Caenorhabditis elegans: one gene and its partner. The protein of the gene in region 1 purifies or fractionates together with the protein of each later gene. This does not show direct contact. Each region holds a gene or a part of one and is shown on either strand. Other genes may lie near its edges.

What was found. The genes of interacting proteins can lie anywhere in the genome.
Region 2: the proteins of nhr-112 (region 1) and F49E10.4 fractionate together in Caenorhabditis elegans (co-fractionation; one large-scale study listed by BioGRID). This does not show direct contact.

Annotation. Positions count from the first base shown.
Region 1 is NC_003283.11:16,719,982-16,726,938, reverse strand, and holds nhr-112 (Nuclear receptor domain-containing protein), read left to right. Parts: upstream 1-3,094; 5' UTR 3,095-3,111; coding exon 3,112-3,170; intron 3,171-3,217; coding exon 3,218-3,360; intron 3,361-3,415; coding exon 3,416-3,486; intron 3,487-3,534; coding exon 3,535-3,747; intron 3,748-3,793; coding exon 3,794-3,972; intron 3,973-4,018; coding exon 4,019-4,134; intron 4,135-4,538; coding exon 4,539-4,786; 3' UTR 4,787-4,878; downstream 4,879-6,957.
Region 2 is NC_003284.9:5,874,149-5,883,233, forward strand, and holds F49E10.4 (Mitochondria-eating protein), read left to right. Parts: upstream 1-1,718; 5' UTR 1,719-1,749; coding exon 1,750-1,878; intron 1,879-1,947; exon of another isoform or gene 1,948-2,075; intron 2,076-2,135; coding exon 2,136-2,255; intron 2,256-2,757; coding exon 2,758-2,892; intron 2,893-3,190; coding exon 3,191-3,345; intron 3,346-3,389; coding exon 3,390-3,615; intron 3,616-4,074; coding exon 4,075-4,239; intron 4,240-4,285; coding exon 4,286-4,376; intron 4,377-4,419; coding exon 4,420-4,481; intron 4,482-4,550; coding exon 4,551-4,642; intron 4,643-4,698; coding exon 4,699-4,813; intron 4,814-4,866; coding exon 4,867-5,020; intron 5,021-5,811; coding exon 5,812-5,921; intron 5,922-6,155; coding exon 6,156-6,283; intron 6,284-7,233; coding exon 7,234-7,390; 3' UTR 7,391-7,604; downstream 7,605-9,085.

The DNA.
Region 1 (6,957 bases):
ATTTTGAAGTTTTAAGAAATTATGAAAAAATTGGATGAGGACAATTTCAGAATAAAAAAATTCAGGCTATGTTTTCTAAAAAATTGTGTTCTCAAAATTTTTTTTTTCAAAATTTTTGAAAAGATGTAATTCGAAAATCTAAAAATTTTTTTTTTTAATTTTGCAATTTTTTTTAATTTGGAAAACGATTAGGTGATTTAATCACCCATTTAAAATTGAAAACCACAATTTTGTATTTCAAAAAAAATTGCAAAAATTGTTTCCAAAATAATTCAGATATTCGAATTGCAATTGTTTTGCAAAAATTGCATTTTTTAAAAATATTTTTTAGATATTTTCAAAAAAAAATTAAAATTTCAGAGAACGTCTAAAATTGCTCTAATACTTGTACAAAACGAAAAACAAGATAAACACATTTTCAAAGCAAATTTTCATAAATCATGATTTTGATTTAAAAGATGTCTGAAAAAATTCAGATCGTCTTTAAAAAAATTTAAATGATTAATTTTTAAATTAAAAAAAAATTGAGTTGCAGGATCATGTCAAAATACTTCCCTAGTTTGGTACACTTGTCAGAAATTTTCAAGTCCAAAATGTAGACATTCCCAAAACGCATAAAATGCAACAATCTATTAGTAATTTCTAAAGGGTATTCTCGATTTTTTTACGGCTTGCACACTCATATCCTATTTACCACCCGACACAAAACACAGTTCCATTTGAGTCATTTACGATCATTTGATAAAAAATATAAAATGGTAAAAGCCACGTCATATGATTCACACTGTGTTCTCTAATTTTTTGTCTGACACTCTGCTTTTTCTATTCAATTTTAGTACTCTTTTTACATGGAGAACGAAGAGAAAGAGACGGAGAACTGAGATCAAAAGGTCGCGCCGTGTTTGTTTCGTTGTGCTATGTGCCTGGTATATATTGGGGTTTGTGACGAACTTTTTTCCTGCAAAAGACAATTTTTGATCGCTATTTTACTTTTAACTCTTTTTTTTTAGTCTAAAAAGTCACCTGTGGAAAATTTCTAAATTTTTTTAAATCTCAGACTCTTTTGTACTAGTTTATGGTATTAATTGTTTTTTTTTTTCGTTTTTTTTCTTCATATTTTAAATTAGAATTTGAAAAAGTATTTTTCAAAAAACTTGACTGGAAATTCAGAACTGATTTTTATTCAAATACTTTTAAAGTAATGCTAATTTTTGTTTTTTTGAATACTTTCCGGGAATTAAATTTTTAACTGGAAATTCAAATTTTAGGGTTTCAAAAAATCTGGCCAGAAATTAAAATTATTATTTCCAAAAAGTTTTTGCCTGTACATTCAAATTTAGATTTATCAAAAAAAAAACCATTGGCGGGAAATTCGATTCTTTTCAAAAAAAATGTATGAAGTTCATATTTAAAAATTTTTCGAAAAAAATTTTTGTACGAAACTCAACTTTTAATTTTCCAGAACATTTCGGCTGGAAATTCAATTTTTTTTTCTAAAAATTTTCGCGAAATTTTCATTTTTATTTTATTTTAACTTTCTGCAGAATTTCAAATTAAACACTGTTTCCAGAAGGTTTTAGCAGAAAGTTAAAAAAAATAATTTTTCCAAAATACTAACAAAATAAAATTAAAATTGTTCAATATTTTTGAACTTCAATATTTCAAAATTTCGGCGGTAAATTCAATTTTCAATTATCAGAAAATTCTGTATTATTTTGCAAAATTCTAGAAAATTCTAAAAGTATCCTAAAGTGTTTCAGAATGTTCTGAAATTTTTTAAATGTCCATACTCACACTTATTTTTTGTCAATTTTGCACGCCACCAGCAACCTCTTGTCGTTTTTCCTGCAAAAGTACCTGCGGTATTTTTTCACCTTTTTCATAGATAAAAACGGTTTAAAAGTGCACCACTTTTTTCTAAAATTACTATGTTCCTTTTTATATTGATTGCTTTATTTGATTATGTGTATGTGTTCTATTGGTATTTCATTTCTTACACGATTAACTAATCGTATCAAAATAAATAAATAAATAAATACATTTTTGAATGATTAATTTCATTCCTCAATTTCGTAATATTGCATTGCACGGTGACCATTAAAACACAAGTGCAACTAAACAAATAACGACAAAAAAAGCACCGAAAATGCACTGACTCATCATGCCCCGACAGACGACACGTTGGCAACGCATTTGTAGACTTTTAAATTGGACGGGGAGTCGTACATTCATTTGATCTTTTGTTCTACATTTTTGCGGGATGTAAATATTTCGTGTTTTGCGCGGTCTTTGTCATTTTGCGGCTGCATTGTTCAGAGATCGTTGCAAATATTTCTTATGTGATTTTGTAGACCGAAAATTAAAAAAAAAACTGTTGCTATAGAACAATTAATTAGGAAGGGCATACCTACCGTATTTTTACTATTAAGTATGAACTCATTACCGCCGAAACCGGGCATTTACAAATTTTTTCGTAAAAATCTGAAATCAGCGTCGGATTCAGCATCCTAAAAATCCTATGGAACTACAATTTCGGTCAAAACCATCAAAAATTGGGAGAAAAATGGCTTACAATTAAAAAATCGAATTTTTTTCTTGTTTCCTCCGAATTTTTGAACTATCTAGATGAGATTGAAGTAACATTTTTTCTTACGCTGAATCCGATATAAATATTAGTTTTCCACAAAAAATTCAGACATGTCCTAAAATTCTAGAACGAATGAGGGATCCCGCATACCGGCCGGCCTTTGCCATCACAGCTCGAGGAGCTTGTGCAGTTTGTTGTAAAATCAAAGGCTTGGTGTTAGCACTGCTTAGTGCGATTGGTGTAATTTATCAACGTCCGACACTTTCGGAGTTCCGCGCCACACTATACAGAGGACGCCGGCTCCTAAACCCAAGCCCTGCGTTTGTCCCACAAGTCCCTTGAGATAAGCGGGTGATATGTCCTCGATCAATGTCGGCTGCGCATTTACTATAAGATCTTTAAAGACTCGTTGCTCAGAATTATGCTAACATTGGCAAATATTCCTTGTTTTGCTCAACGATCTCTTCTCTGAGATGCATTTGCAATCCTAATCCGATCAACTTTCAGAGCACTTCTCTCTCAAAATGTGCAAAATCTGCGGATCTTCAGAATCTGAGCCCCACTTTGGCGGGACTTCATGTCGGTGAGAGACTTTTCCCGTAAGCCCAAAAACTAGTCAGAATTTTTCAGAGCCTGCGCTGCATTTTTCCGCAGATTCTATCACTCGAAAAAGCTCGGCTTAAAATGTACATGTAAAACCAGGCAGTCAAATGCTCATCCGTGCCGAAGTTGCAGGATCCGAAAGTGTTATGAAGCTGGGATGACGCCGGAGAGTAGGTTTTGAAGATTTATAGTTATGCTTTAGTTTTTTAACTACTCGAATTTCAGAGATCCAACTAACCAGGGACAAGCATTTGAACAGAACTATAAAACTGGAAGGCCCATGCTCCTCGTTAGATGTAGGATTTAAAGCTTAAAAGCGGCCCGAAGAATGTACTTATTTTTAGACTCCGATAACTTCCCGCCAAACACCAAACTTATATTGTGTTCTATCAAACTGGCACGAGTTGAAAATGACTAGAGAAGAAATGAACAGTGGATCTCTCAATAATTGCAATATTTTCGAACTCACTAGTTTTGTGCTAAGAGATCTTGAATTGACGTGGCGGATGGTTAGCAAGGCCTTCCCAACTGTAGAAGTACTTGAGGACAGGGATAGAGTAGGTTTGACTTTGAAGTTCTTCGCTCTAAAAACTGGAATTCCAGCAAGCTCTGTTACGGAACTTTGTGCCAAAATTATGGCAGATTGAGCCAATCCTCGAGTACCGGGAGTGTGCTGAAAAGTTCGATAATCTGGAGGAAGAGGATTATGAAAATTTGCTGGTTGGGTTTTATGGTGGAACATTTCCAGAAGGGAAGGAAATGTCTAAATCTGAAATTGTTAGGTAAACCTTCAAAAAATGTCGGCCATTAAATGCGAAAAGTTTCCAGTAACTTCCGGCCATACTGGGATTACTACTACACAAAAATGATTCTTCCGATTTCGTCAATGGGGCTCGAAGAGCTTGAATATATGGCTATCGTTTGGCTGGCGTTCTTTGATAATGGTAAGGAAAAAATCGGAAAGTTATGAAGGTTCTGAAAATGATCGGAACGTTCTGAAAATCGCTAGAGGTGTAAAAACAACTTTGGGATTAGCCAACGGATTTTCTGGATGGTTTTATAAATGTCTAAAAAAATTCTGAAAAGATCTAGGAACTTCTGGAAAGACTTGGGAAGTTCCAGAGGCTTCTGGACACTTGTACAAATTTCTGGAAAGTTTACAACTCATGTAAAAAGTTCTTAAAACTTTTGAATTTCTCTGAAAATTTCTGGCATGCTTAGAAAAATTGAAAAAAAAAACTGATTTTTGGAAATTTTTGAGAAACGACTTCTAATTGTTCAAAATAAGTGTTAAAAAATAAATCAAAATTCATATTTCCTCAACTAGGATAACTTTAAAAATTTCCAGGCTACTCAAACATATCTGACAATTGCCTCGAAATGTGTAGGGATATCCAGAAAGTGATACTCAAGGAGTTGCGAAACTATCAAATCGATAGGAACTTTCATGAAAATCGTTTTTTCGTTGCCTTAGAGGCTTTGCAAATCATTGAAAGAGGAGAGAAGAAATTCATGGAGGAGATGTTGGTGTGCGAGATGAATCATATCCGGATACATGATGATTTCAGAAAGATTATCAGAGAACCAAAATTGTAGTCTTGAGAACAGTATAATAACAGTTGTAAATATGTTGATTTTGTATTTGAATTTTTGTTGTCGCTTTTAAATGAAAATGTATTAAAACGTGCTTAATTCAAAAACATTTTTTATTTCCACAATAAAGTTGAAGCGTTCGAAAGAGTTCACATGTTGTGATCATCCAGTTGTTTTGAGACCATACACCTTTCCTTCCGAACGAACCAATTTTGCAGCTTTACCGCATATGGTGCACATGTACATGTAATTACGATACGTCGGGCTTAATAAAATTGAATATAAATTTTATCTGTTCAAAGCATTGACTTACTGAACATGAGCTTCTGACCATAGTAATGAGAGATGTTCATCGGGTAGAGTCGTTTGAAAATAAACATCAGTAAAATAGTCTGTGTTCGTAGCAACACCAGCGTCCCAAATGATTTCTGGTACATTATAGCTTTTATATTTTGTTATCCCTCCGGTCCAGTGATGACATGTCTTCACTGAAAATAACCGTTTCTATTAGGAGTACTAGTATAAAGCAATTGCCGACCGGCAAGTCTACAAGAGAGCCAGTGTTGCATAATCTCTTAAAATTTTAAACCTAAATTTTCTGATGGAATATTGAAATACTTGTTTTACCTGGAAATAAGATTACTGAAAAATAACTGAAGAAATATCTCAAAAATACTCTGAAAGTTGAAAATTCCCAACGTTTTTTCTCGTTAATTTGTCTAATATTATCCGGCAATTTTCAACATTCAGAGCAGGGCTGTGCGGCCTTTTTCTCGACGCATCTAAAAATTCCATTATTTTCAGTGGATTAGCAAGAAAGAGTTTGCGAATGATTATACTGGTTGAATAGTTGGAGCAATAAGCTTATCACTAAAGAAATAAACTTTGAAAAAAAGTGTACACAACATTCCATACCATTCGCAATGCGCCAAGTGCCGAATGAATCGCCTCTCGGATGCCGGCTCATTGGTTCGAGGCGTATATCTCTACGCTATAACCACTTTTTTTCAAATGTTTTTAAAATGATAAGCTTCATGCTCCAGCTATTCAACTAGTATGATCATTCAAAAACTCTTTCTTTCTAAAACACGAAACAATTGAATTTTCAGATGAGTCGAGAAACGAGCCGCACAGCCCAGATTAAAAGTATTTTTGGGAATATTTTTAATTGTTCCACACCAAGTAAGTGTTATTTGCAAATGAAGCAAATACTTTTCTATATCTCATCGCATTATTTAAATTAAAAAATTCTTGGAAAACATGCCGCGTAGAACTCACAAGTTTTAGATACTGCAACCCATTCATCTCGCGAGTCAAATCCTGTCAATTCTGCTCCAAAACTGTTGCAACGAGCTTTTGCTTCATAATACGTGATCTTTTCCGTCTCATCAACCTTAAATTCTTTATAAAATGTGTAAATTAATTTCAGCTTACGTAATGACAGAAAACTGATTCGCTCGTCCGGTTGTATACCAACATTTCTTCAGCCCATTCTGGCTTTGGATCACAGTCCCCATGCGACCAACTGAATTCGTCTGAAAATATGCAAAGTTGTATGAAAATGTTATCTGTTAACTCACGCATTGCACAAATAGCAGGAGCTCGCATTGCAGCCATTGTAGGATAACGTCCGTTTCTGAAAAACATTAATTTTTAAAGCTTATAACTTGGCTCATTAGATCGGTTCCAAAGCTCATCAATTTAAATGAAATTTTTGTTCTCTTTTATTACAATGCGCCTTCACACTGCATTTGCAGAAAGGTTTCAAATCGATAATATAATAACTCACTTGTGGAAAGAGTAACCTGTGAGCATGGCAATATTCATCGTTCGAACCGATTGAATCAAATGAAGTAGAAGTATTTCCATCTTGTTGAGTACGGTAGTCCCCTCTTCCACAGCCACTGAAATAGTTATTTGAAACATTTAAAATGCAGTAAAAGGGTAAGGTAAAAACTCACTCGCTCTTAAATCCACTTGTCATGTAGAATTGATGATCGGTGAGAAGATGTTTGACGTAATTTTGCTCGTTTTCAGTCGGAACCATCGGAATGCTGTCCACATTGAGAATGTTCCCGAGAAGCTTGCATTTCTCATTGAGCTCACTCGTGTCGAACTTTTCAATCTCATCGCCGTACTGAGTCGGTCCACCTGTGTTCTTGATCAGCGAGCGT
Region 2 (9,085 bases), on another chromosome or scaffold:
TTTAAATGAACATTATAAAGAAACTTACTTCAATATCTATAGAAATATGATTTTAAAATGTAAATATGTAAATATGATTTTAAAAATATCAAAAAAGTAAGATAAGAATATTAAACATTTTATCATGCCCTCAGCCTAAAAAACGTTTTCTGCTTTCATTTCTATTCTTGTATTTTTCTAAGAAAAGCGAGAACAAACAGATATCAGTGGGGGTGTGGAGGGTAATTCAATTAAAACCAACATCAAGAAAGCTTCTTTCAACCAAGAAATACTCATATTCATACCCCCGCTCAACACCACTGACCTCGTTCCGCTCAACACCACTGACCTCGTTGAAATTACTATCGAAAGGACAAAACGTGTGGGGGGGGGGGGGGGGGGGGGGGGGGCTGTAGTAGACTCAAAAGAAAAATCGAAACACGCGTACAACACAATAACTTTTCTTCCCATTTCTCACTATTTCTATTTCTGCTTCCGTTGACTGCTTGATCCTATCCCGCGCCATTCAGCAACACCTTCAACGGGGGCACCTTTTGTTGTGTGAGAATTTCGCGTCCGATTTGATTTCTAGTCAAAACGGACAAAAGACGTAGTAAACGAGAATACAAAGTGTACAAGGTCCTGCCATGTAACACGTGTCAGTACGCCAGTACGGATGGCGCCCCGCCTTTTTTTTGCTTCCACCATCCTTTTTGCCGCCTTCATCAACCATTTTTTCCTCTCTCCCTCCGTACGGCAGCGCCTCCTCTCTGTGTGTGTGTCCATGTTGCAGTCATTTGCCTGCCAAGCTTCTGGCTTCCCAGACGCAACAATACAAACAAATCCTGACAGGCGCGACGACGGGCAGCCTCAGCTACAGTATCTCATTATTGGCACCTCTAATTGCCGTATCAAGTTTCAAAAAACGCGCGTCTCCCCGCTTTCAAGGGGAACGCAAAATTGTCGACGACATGTTTATCCGGCTGCTGCCGGCCAACCATTTTCTCACAGCCACCGGATATTCTGAGATGCTTCTTTTTTTGTTGTTGTCGTTAGATGTACAGTGCCATTCCGCATATCATTGATGTTAGGATCATCTAGCATCTACCAGAATTTTTCCTTTCTCTGAATTCTAAAAAACTGATGGTCTTATATGAGGTAGTATTTGGTGTATCACATATGTAATGTCATATTTTATTAGCTCTGCATACCTCACTCATTTTAAAAACTCTGCTCCAACCCTTTCCGAGAAACTAATTCTGGAGCACAGATAAAATCTGCAAAACTTTGTTTATATTCTTTCTGAAGTACTGCCTTCCATTCACGCATCTTTTCCCAATTCTTCCCGTTTTCACCGTTGGTGAAAGTCATAGTTCTTCAGATGACCACCACTTACGAATTGTCTGTATAATTATGGTGAAGTAGAGAATACGCCGTTCTCCTCTAGGTGAGAAAATATATATCCTATTATTTTCTCTTCCAGTTCAAGCATCCTTTACAGTAATCCCTTTGTAAGTATGTTGATATCATTCACACATTTGATGTTCTCTTTTCCCTTTCCACCATCACTTGAGAAGTAATTAATTGCATTTTTTTTCTTGCACACACTTGAGCGGTCTCCTTTTTCATTGTCTGTTGTTTTTTGTTGCTTTTTTTGTTCGCGATTCATCAATGTGCCGCTCTTTTTCAACGTCATTTTTCACACACTTGTTCCAAAAAACCTAACAATGAAAACAATAGAAAGGGAGCTGCAAACCAAATTCTTTATGCATGGCGCACAAAACCAGCAAATCAGCTGGATGGAGTTTTAAACCACCACGACAGGAACTTAATTTGATTCAATACACTTGCCAAGTGGAACCGCTAGATGTCCAGCTCTTGAATCATCTGCGAGAGCAAGTAAGTAGAAAAACCTGAATAATCAGGAAGAGAATCTTTTCATGAAGTTTATTTGACATTCAATTCCTAATCACCTAATCAAATTAACCCTAGCTGATCATCACTTTTTGATCATTTGCTCGGCGGGCACTACTATCCCGGTGCGTGCGAAATAATCAGTAATGCAAACTCAGTCGCACGCAAGCTTACGTCGGTGTCGGAACGAACGGCTTAGATGTATTTCACAGGTTCAAAGCAGCACGTCACTATACTTGCAGGCACAGAACACCGATGACTTGTCCGTTCTTTTCAACATTTTGCCACCGGTTGAACAACTCGTCTCGGAGATTCCGTACACATTGCCACTGCTGGAAGCGATTTATTTGAAATGTGAATTGGTGAGGGAGTCAGTAATAAAAATTTAACTTGGGAGTCGCATTATGCATATTTGTACGAATTCAGTTTTTAAATAAAAACCTAATACTTCAAATGCTTAGACTTAAAAAAATTTTCGGTCAAATTTTTTGTGAACAATATTGGTGCCAATTTGTCAAAAGCAAAAAATTGAACTTTTTGTGAAATTTCAGGCGTTGCTGTAGGTTTGAATCCTTTGAATGATTTATTTCAATCAATCAAAACACAATTATATTTTAAAACTCGTAGGAAATTTATTTTTGGTAGATTACCAATATTATAATTGGTAAAAAGTGAGATTTCGCCACATTTTGACTGTTCATAAAAATTTCAAAAGTGTATTTAAAAGCTTAACCAAGCATTTGGACATTTAAGCACAACATGAGCAGCTTTTAACAATATCAACAGTCTGACTAATAAGGAAAACTTGGTACATTTAGAAATTATACAATGTCTGCAATAAACATTTCATGTACCAAATTTCAGCGAACGGTGGAAGATGGGCTAATTCTGCCGACAAAGGAATTGTGTTGTGAGCAACTATTCTGCCAATTGGTCTGGTGGACAGCATTCTGTGAGCAAAGCAATTCATCACTTAAAAAACACTGTGCCATGTTTGCAGTAAGCTTTCTCGTCATTTTTCGTCCTAACGAAATGTGTTTCGGATTCTCCTTTTGAATGTTTTTTTTTGTTTAAAATGCAAATAGTTGTTCGTGTTCGCGAGCGCTTTTTCCAGAAAACAGCAGCAAAAACACGTCGCGTAAGACTGCGCAAAATGCATTTTTGCTATTTTTCACGGCGGAATTGCTCACTTGTCGAGGAGCCGAGAGAAGATAATCAAATAACGTTTTTGTGACGGCGTATGCATCCTCCCAACAAAAATGAACATGGAAAAATATTAGAATAGGGTTCGTTTCAGGAGTTTCAACCATGTATTGCCACTTTGATGTCGATTGTCGGAAGGCAGTGTCCCGATTTGGTGAAAAGAGCTCGCGAAGATAGAAATCAGTTGAAAACATGTTTAGAGAGTCTAGGATGCCACGGGCTTGTTAATTGCTCGTCAGGATTAATTAGGTTCGTTTTTTCTTGTGATGGAAAACAGGATGTATAATTTGCAGAATGACTGACGCCGTTCATCTGGAATTGTTGAAGCATGTGGAGAATCTGAAAATTATTTGCTCACAAATAAAGGAACTTCAACATGATCCAAAATCAAATGCACCGGATCCATCATGCGAGAGTCACCAGAGACAGATGAGCATGAGATTGTCACAAGTGTTTGAACGATTGAAGCTTAATGAAACTCTTCAGTGTGTACTTGAAGAAACGTTTCAAAATCAACACGTGAGCAATTCTTCATTATTTGAAAACAAGGGAAAACGTTTTTTTCCATTCTTGAGTACTGTCCAAAAAGTACAACTCCTATCCAAGAATTTTTTAGCTGTAAACAAATATTGCTAAAATATGGCTGCCGCTTGCCGGAAAGTGTTTGAATTTTGGCAACCGATTGTTGCTCGTTGTTAATTTTGATGTTCGGAAACTTCCGCATTTGCTGAAATTTTTAAATTGAATTTTTGTTTTTAAAATTTGCTCTGACTGCATGAAAAGATCCAAAACGTCCACGTAAATGAAATATGACCATTTTTCTCAAAAACAATCAAAAATAAATGTTCTGCACGGTGAGAACACAAAGATTTAAACTTTTGTTCGGATGTTTTGGGGGACTACGTTTTTTTTTGCAATATAAACTGAGTTTCAACACTAATTAAATGATTAACTTTTATCTCTTTAACCAAATTCCAGCTTGGCTCATTGCTACGCATCTGTCGTAAGCGTGTCGGATCGGACAAACTTCTCATCGGATTGTTTAATGCATTTGCAAGAGCTGCTCCGGAAGACTTTGCTCTTCAACAGATGGACCCAATTGTTGCACAGCTAATCGTAGTGTTCAATAATTCATACAACAAGGTAAACAGGAACTAAAAACCAAAGGTTCATTTTTTGTACTTTTCAGCTATTGCAAATGTGTCCTGATGATGTGAGCTCCACGAGATTGTCTTCGGGATCTTCTACATCCTCCGTATCACAGGGAGCATCTTCAATCAGTATGCCAACTTGTTATAAGTAATCTGTGATTTTTGTTTTCAGATGAAAAATTTTCTGTTCGACCGTCGGAGAACTCCATTCAATTTGACAGTCTCAAGCAAGAGGTGTGATTTTTTAAATTTTTAATTTAGTACATACTACTACTCTCTAAAAATAATTCTTATTGAATTTAGATTTCAAAATTGCGAAAAGAATTACGAGTTGCCAACTACACTATTACTCAACTAAGGGAAAAGTCCGAAGAAGACTCGGTGATTAAAGAAAGGTACGTATGAAAAATACAACTCAAAAAGTGTCGTATTTCATCTAAACTCTATCCAGTTCCCTTCCACTTCCCGACTATCCGGATGCGACCGCATATTATAATTCCGCAACAAAAGAACAAACGAGTCAATTGGTCACTCGATTCGGCGAATTGTTCATATTCGCTAGCAATGTACGTGAAGATCAATTGAAACGAAAAACGATGATCTTGAATAAAACTTTCAGGAACTCAGGGATTCATTGGATACTTTACCGGAAATGGAAGGAGAGGACGACTTGCAAGCTATTTTCGGACATGAAACCTTGATATTGACTTACAATGTGGTGAAAGAGCACATTGAAGACAGAAAGCTAGCGGTATTGAAGGCATTGGGATCTGGTTAGTAGTGAAGGTTTTTTGCAATATCACTTCACAAACTGTCGGGTTGTTCTTTATTTCAAAATTTAGGGTAAACATAGAGTAACGAAAATTTTGGTCATTGTCTCATTAGATTCAAAATATACAAAAATATAAATAATTTACCAAATTTCGTAGTGAAACGTTTCAAAAAATTGGGTTTCAAAGTTTCATGCCTATTTTCAGCTGAAATCAGACTTTTTGCAAAATTGTCAGTGTCGCAGTAAACGGAAATTTTTTTTTTAAATATTATTGCTCACTGTTGTATGTTCGATCGTTTATTACTCATATTTTCGTTGATTTAAGAACATATTCGCTTTATAGGTGCACACATTTTTTCCACATATGTTCACCCATCCACTGAAAAACACATAAATCAGAAAAAACGTAGTTACCTACCAATATGCTGTATAGGATAATAACTACATACAATTTAATTTACCAAATTTCAACTTTGTTTTTTTTTTAATTTAGGATTTTGGCTGAAAACAGGATCATTTTCAAAACTTCGAACTGCCATAACTTTTTTAAAAACATTTCAAGACATTTCATTACTAAACTCTGTTGTTTTGAGCTATTTTGAGTCTGTTAGAGAGTTTTACAAAATTTCGCTACCTTTAATAATCAATCAACAATTATCAAACCACAAGAATTCTTAAGAAAACATATCATTCAAATTTTTGGAAAAACTGGATCAACTTCGCCAATGTTTAAATGTTTAAGCATGTGACTTTACACATTTTTTTAACACGTTGAAAAATTTGTGTTTTCAGTAAATAACAATGCCAAAGAATCGAATGAATTGACAATGTTTGAAGATGCATTGAGTTCACAGCTTCACAAAGAGTTCACCACAACAAAAGCTGGAGGCCATATTGCAGAGGTAACTTAAAAACTTGTCATCAAAATTTTAAAGCCTGACTCAAAATGAATGCAAACTTCTTTCAACCATTTGTTCTATATTCTCAGAGATCCTAGTATCAAGAAGCTAAAACTTATAGGTTGACAAATAATCACTACCGACTACATATAAATTATCTAAATATAATTTAAGAAAAAAAAAAGTAAATTGACAAATACGTCAATTATTTGCCGACCTAATATAACATTTTTCCAGGATCTGTGCCAGCAAGTATTCAAGAAGCTTGACGAGTACCCCGGAGTTGAAGAATGTCTAACTATTCATCAATACATCCAAAAATGTATATCAATATCATGGGACATTCAATGCTGCCCGGAACGAAAGTGAGTCTTTTTTTTGTAATATTGGTCCCCAGCCTCCATATAACTTTTTCTGGCACGTCATTGATTTTACTTATTTAAATTATTCACACCTCCGCCGCAAAACCTCCCCCTCCGAAAATCTAAAATTGTCACTGCAATTTAGAATTTTTGATAGGGTTCGAATTTTTCTGGAAAAAAATACCCCAGCATCTCCAAAATTGTTCCTGGTGATGATTTTTGAATTTCAGAACGTCACTTAAAAACTTCCGATGTCTTTTTCTGCGATATTTCTATTTTAAAATATGCCGACCATTTTTCTTCTCTGGCACTGACAAATTGAGGTTCATCAAAAGTTCGTGCTTCTTGACACCTGAGCATAGAATATACAATGAGAGACTTGTACACCCACATGTTTGTAATGATGAATAACTTCCATTTGCAAATGTTCATTTGAAGATGGGGAATTTTTTTTGGCTATTTTTGTAATTTCTTATTCCCTAACTTTCATAGTATCTAGGTATATCAGCTGGAGGAAATAAAAGTTGTTAAAAAACTTTTGTTTTCATTTCTAGTTTTTAGAATGACTGTTTTTCATAACCAAAATCAAAATTCAAGTGATGTCCAAATAATCACATTTCCGTTTTTCAAGTGATTCCCCCCAATATCTGAACTTTTTATGTGGTGGAATGTTTTTTTTTCATGTTTTGATTTTCAGACTTGATATATAAGATTTTATTTTCCATTAACAATTCTAGAAATCCAATCTGTTTGCCTTCGTGTAAGCGAACACATTGGAAAAAAACGTCTCGAACTTTTGCTCGAATCCTCAGAATAGAACATATGTGCCGACCTGACAAACAGTGCCACAATAAATCAAATCCCAGCCACTGCAGAAAAACCTGACTTTTCCGATATTAATAAATTCAATCCACCCACGGAACGCGCCCATAACTCATCATATCCTATTGCAGATTGAAGTTAGAGTACGACGGAGCCGAGTTCGAGCCGTCCCGTCATTCCAGAGGAGCTTACTCGGGAACAACCAACCAAGTTGTCAACTTCATATGGCCTGCGCTGATTGATACTTCAGACAATCGAGTCCTTCTTAAAGCGATTGTTTTGACATGATAAGCAATGAATCACGTGGTTTCTGGGTACACCAACAAAATTCGCTCAAGAATTGAAAACTAATTAACCAAGGTGTCCGTTAAGTATTTGCTCCATCCTCAAAAGTTATAATCATATGATATTTTGAGAAACTTTGATTGTTAACTTCTAAAGTTGTAGCTTTCTCGGCCAAATCTATGTATTTCGTGTAAATAAACAAATGTTCATCAGAAAGTCACTTCAGCTTCAAGTCTTTTATTTATTTTATTGCTTTACGTGAATACTGATTTTAAGACTTTTTTCATATTTTTCTATACGAATACGAAAATGTTGAACGACTTCTGAAAAACAACATTTCTTTAGGAATTTCAATAGTTTAGTAGTGATGCATTAATTAGTAGATGACACTTTTCTAAGTCTTTCTTTTTTAAAAGAGTTTCACAAAGAAACGTTCGATCTATTTTTCTACTCATTCAGTTCGTAAAAATTGGATTATTTCCATGTTTTTTGTTAGAATTTCCTATTCAAGTATCTTGTCACTTATAAAATGAAAGAAAACGTCAGAAATTAACGCGTATTCTAAGAAATATTACCGGAAGGTGATTCAGTCTAGCGTGAAGCTGGAGAAATTACACGTTTTCTCATCAATTACACTGTAAGAAGCGTAAAAGAGCAGCGAGTGAATTTTCATAATATTTTACTTTTGTGTCTCTTGACCTGAAAGACTTGAGGAAAGAGATGGAAATAAATGAATCTACTCCGTATTTTTGCAAAATTAACGTTCAGACTAGATAACTGTTCCAGAAAACCAGCATGTCATTTTTCAAATAAAATAATCAGGCTAACTTGAACTTTCTGATTCTTGTTGCAATACCGTTTTTGGTAAAGTTTTGCAAATTGGTCGATAATCTGAAAATTGCAGAAAAGTAGAGTTACCCGTCGTCTCTGACATAACTTTTTTTTTTCATGAAGATTCTGTAAAACCAGCAGCGCCTGCCTTGCCTAAAAGATCAATTCGCGCCTTCTGTATAGTGCGGCGCGGAACCTGTCGGCTGTTGCATATCGCACTATGCGGTCATTACACGTCAAAATGCAGAATTGATGCGATGAGGCCGTCGTGAGGCCTACAGCTTTTAGGAAGTCGCCTGGCCGTAACTGTGTTTATCTCACAAGAGCAACAATCGCTCAAGTTTGCTTTTGAAACAAAGCGAATATTTTCTAGACCTTTAAACATTTTCAAAAATACTCCTTCTGATATTCTACAAATATAATTTCTTAGGATTAGTAACATTGTCCCTGTAAACTTTACGACCTTACTATGTATCAGCCTGAAAAAAAATTGAAAAATAAAACATCTGCGAAGTCCATGCTTTCTTGCACGTTTTATTATGCAATTTCTCGTCATTGTGATTTTTTGTTTCTATTCCCATCTGCTTGCAACTATTTTTTTACTCATAACTCTCCGCTGATTATTCCTCCCCATTGTGACTCTATGATCGCAGAAACTAATAAAAAGATAATGACGAATCCCAAATTTTAGATGACTTTTTAGGCATCTTCCATGCTCAATGAGCTTCTCACGTTCTAATCAAAAACTGCTTCTTCCCCCGCATCCTCATAAAAACAGGCTAGTATTACTCATATCGGTGCCCATTTTTGACTTTATTCTATTCAACATGAATTCCCTTGTCGCAGTTGAATCAAAAAATAAAATAA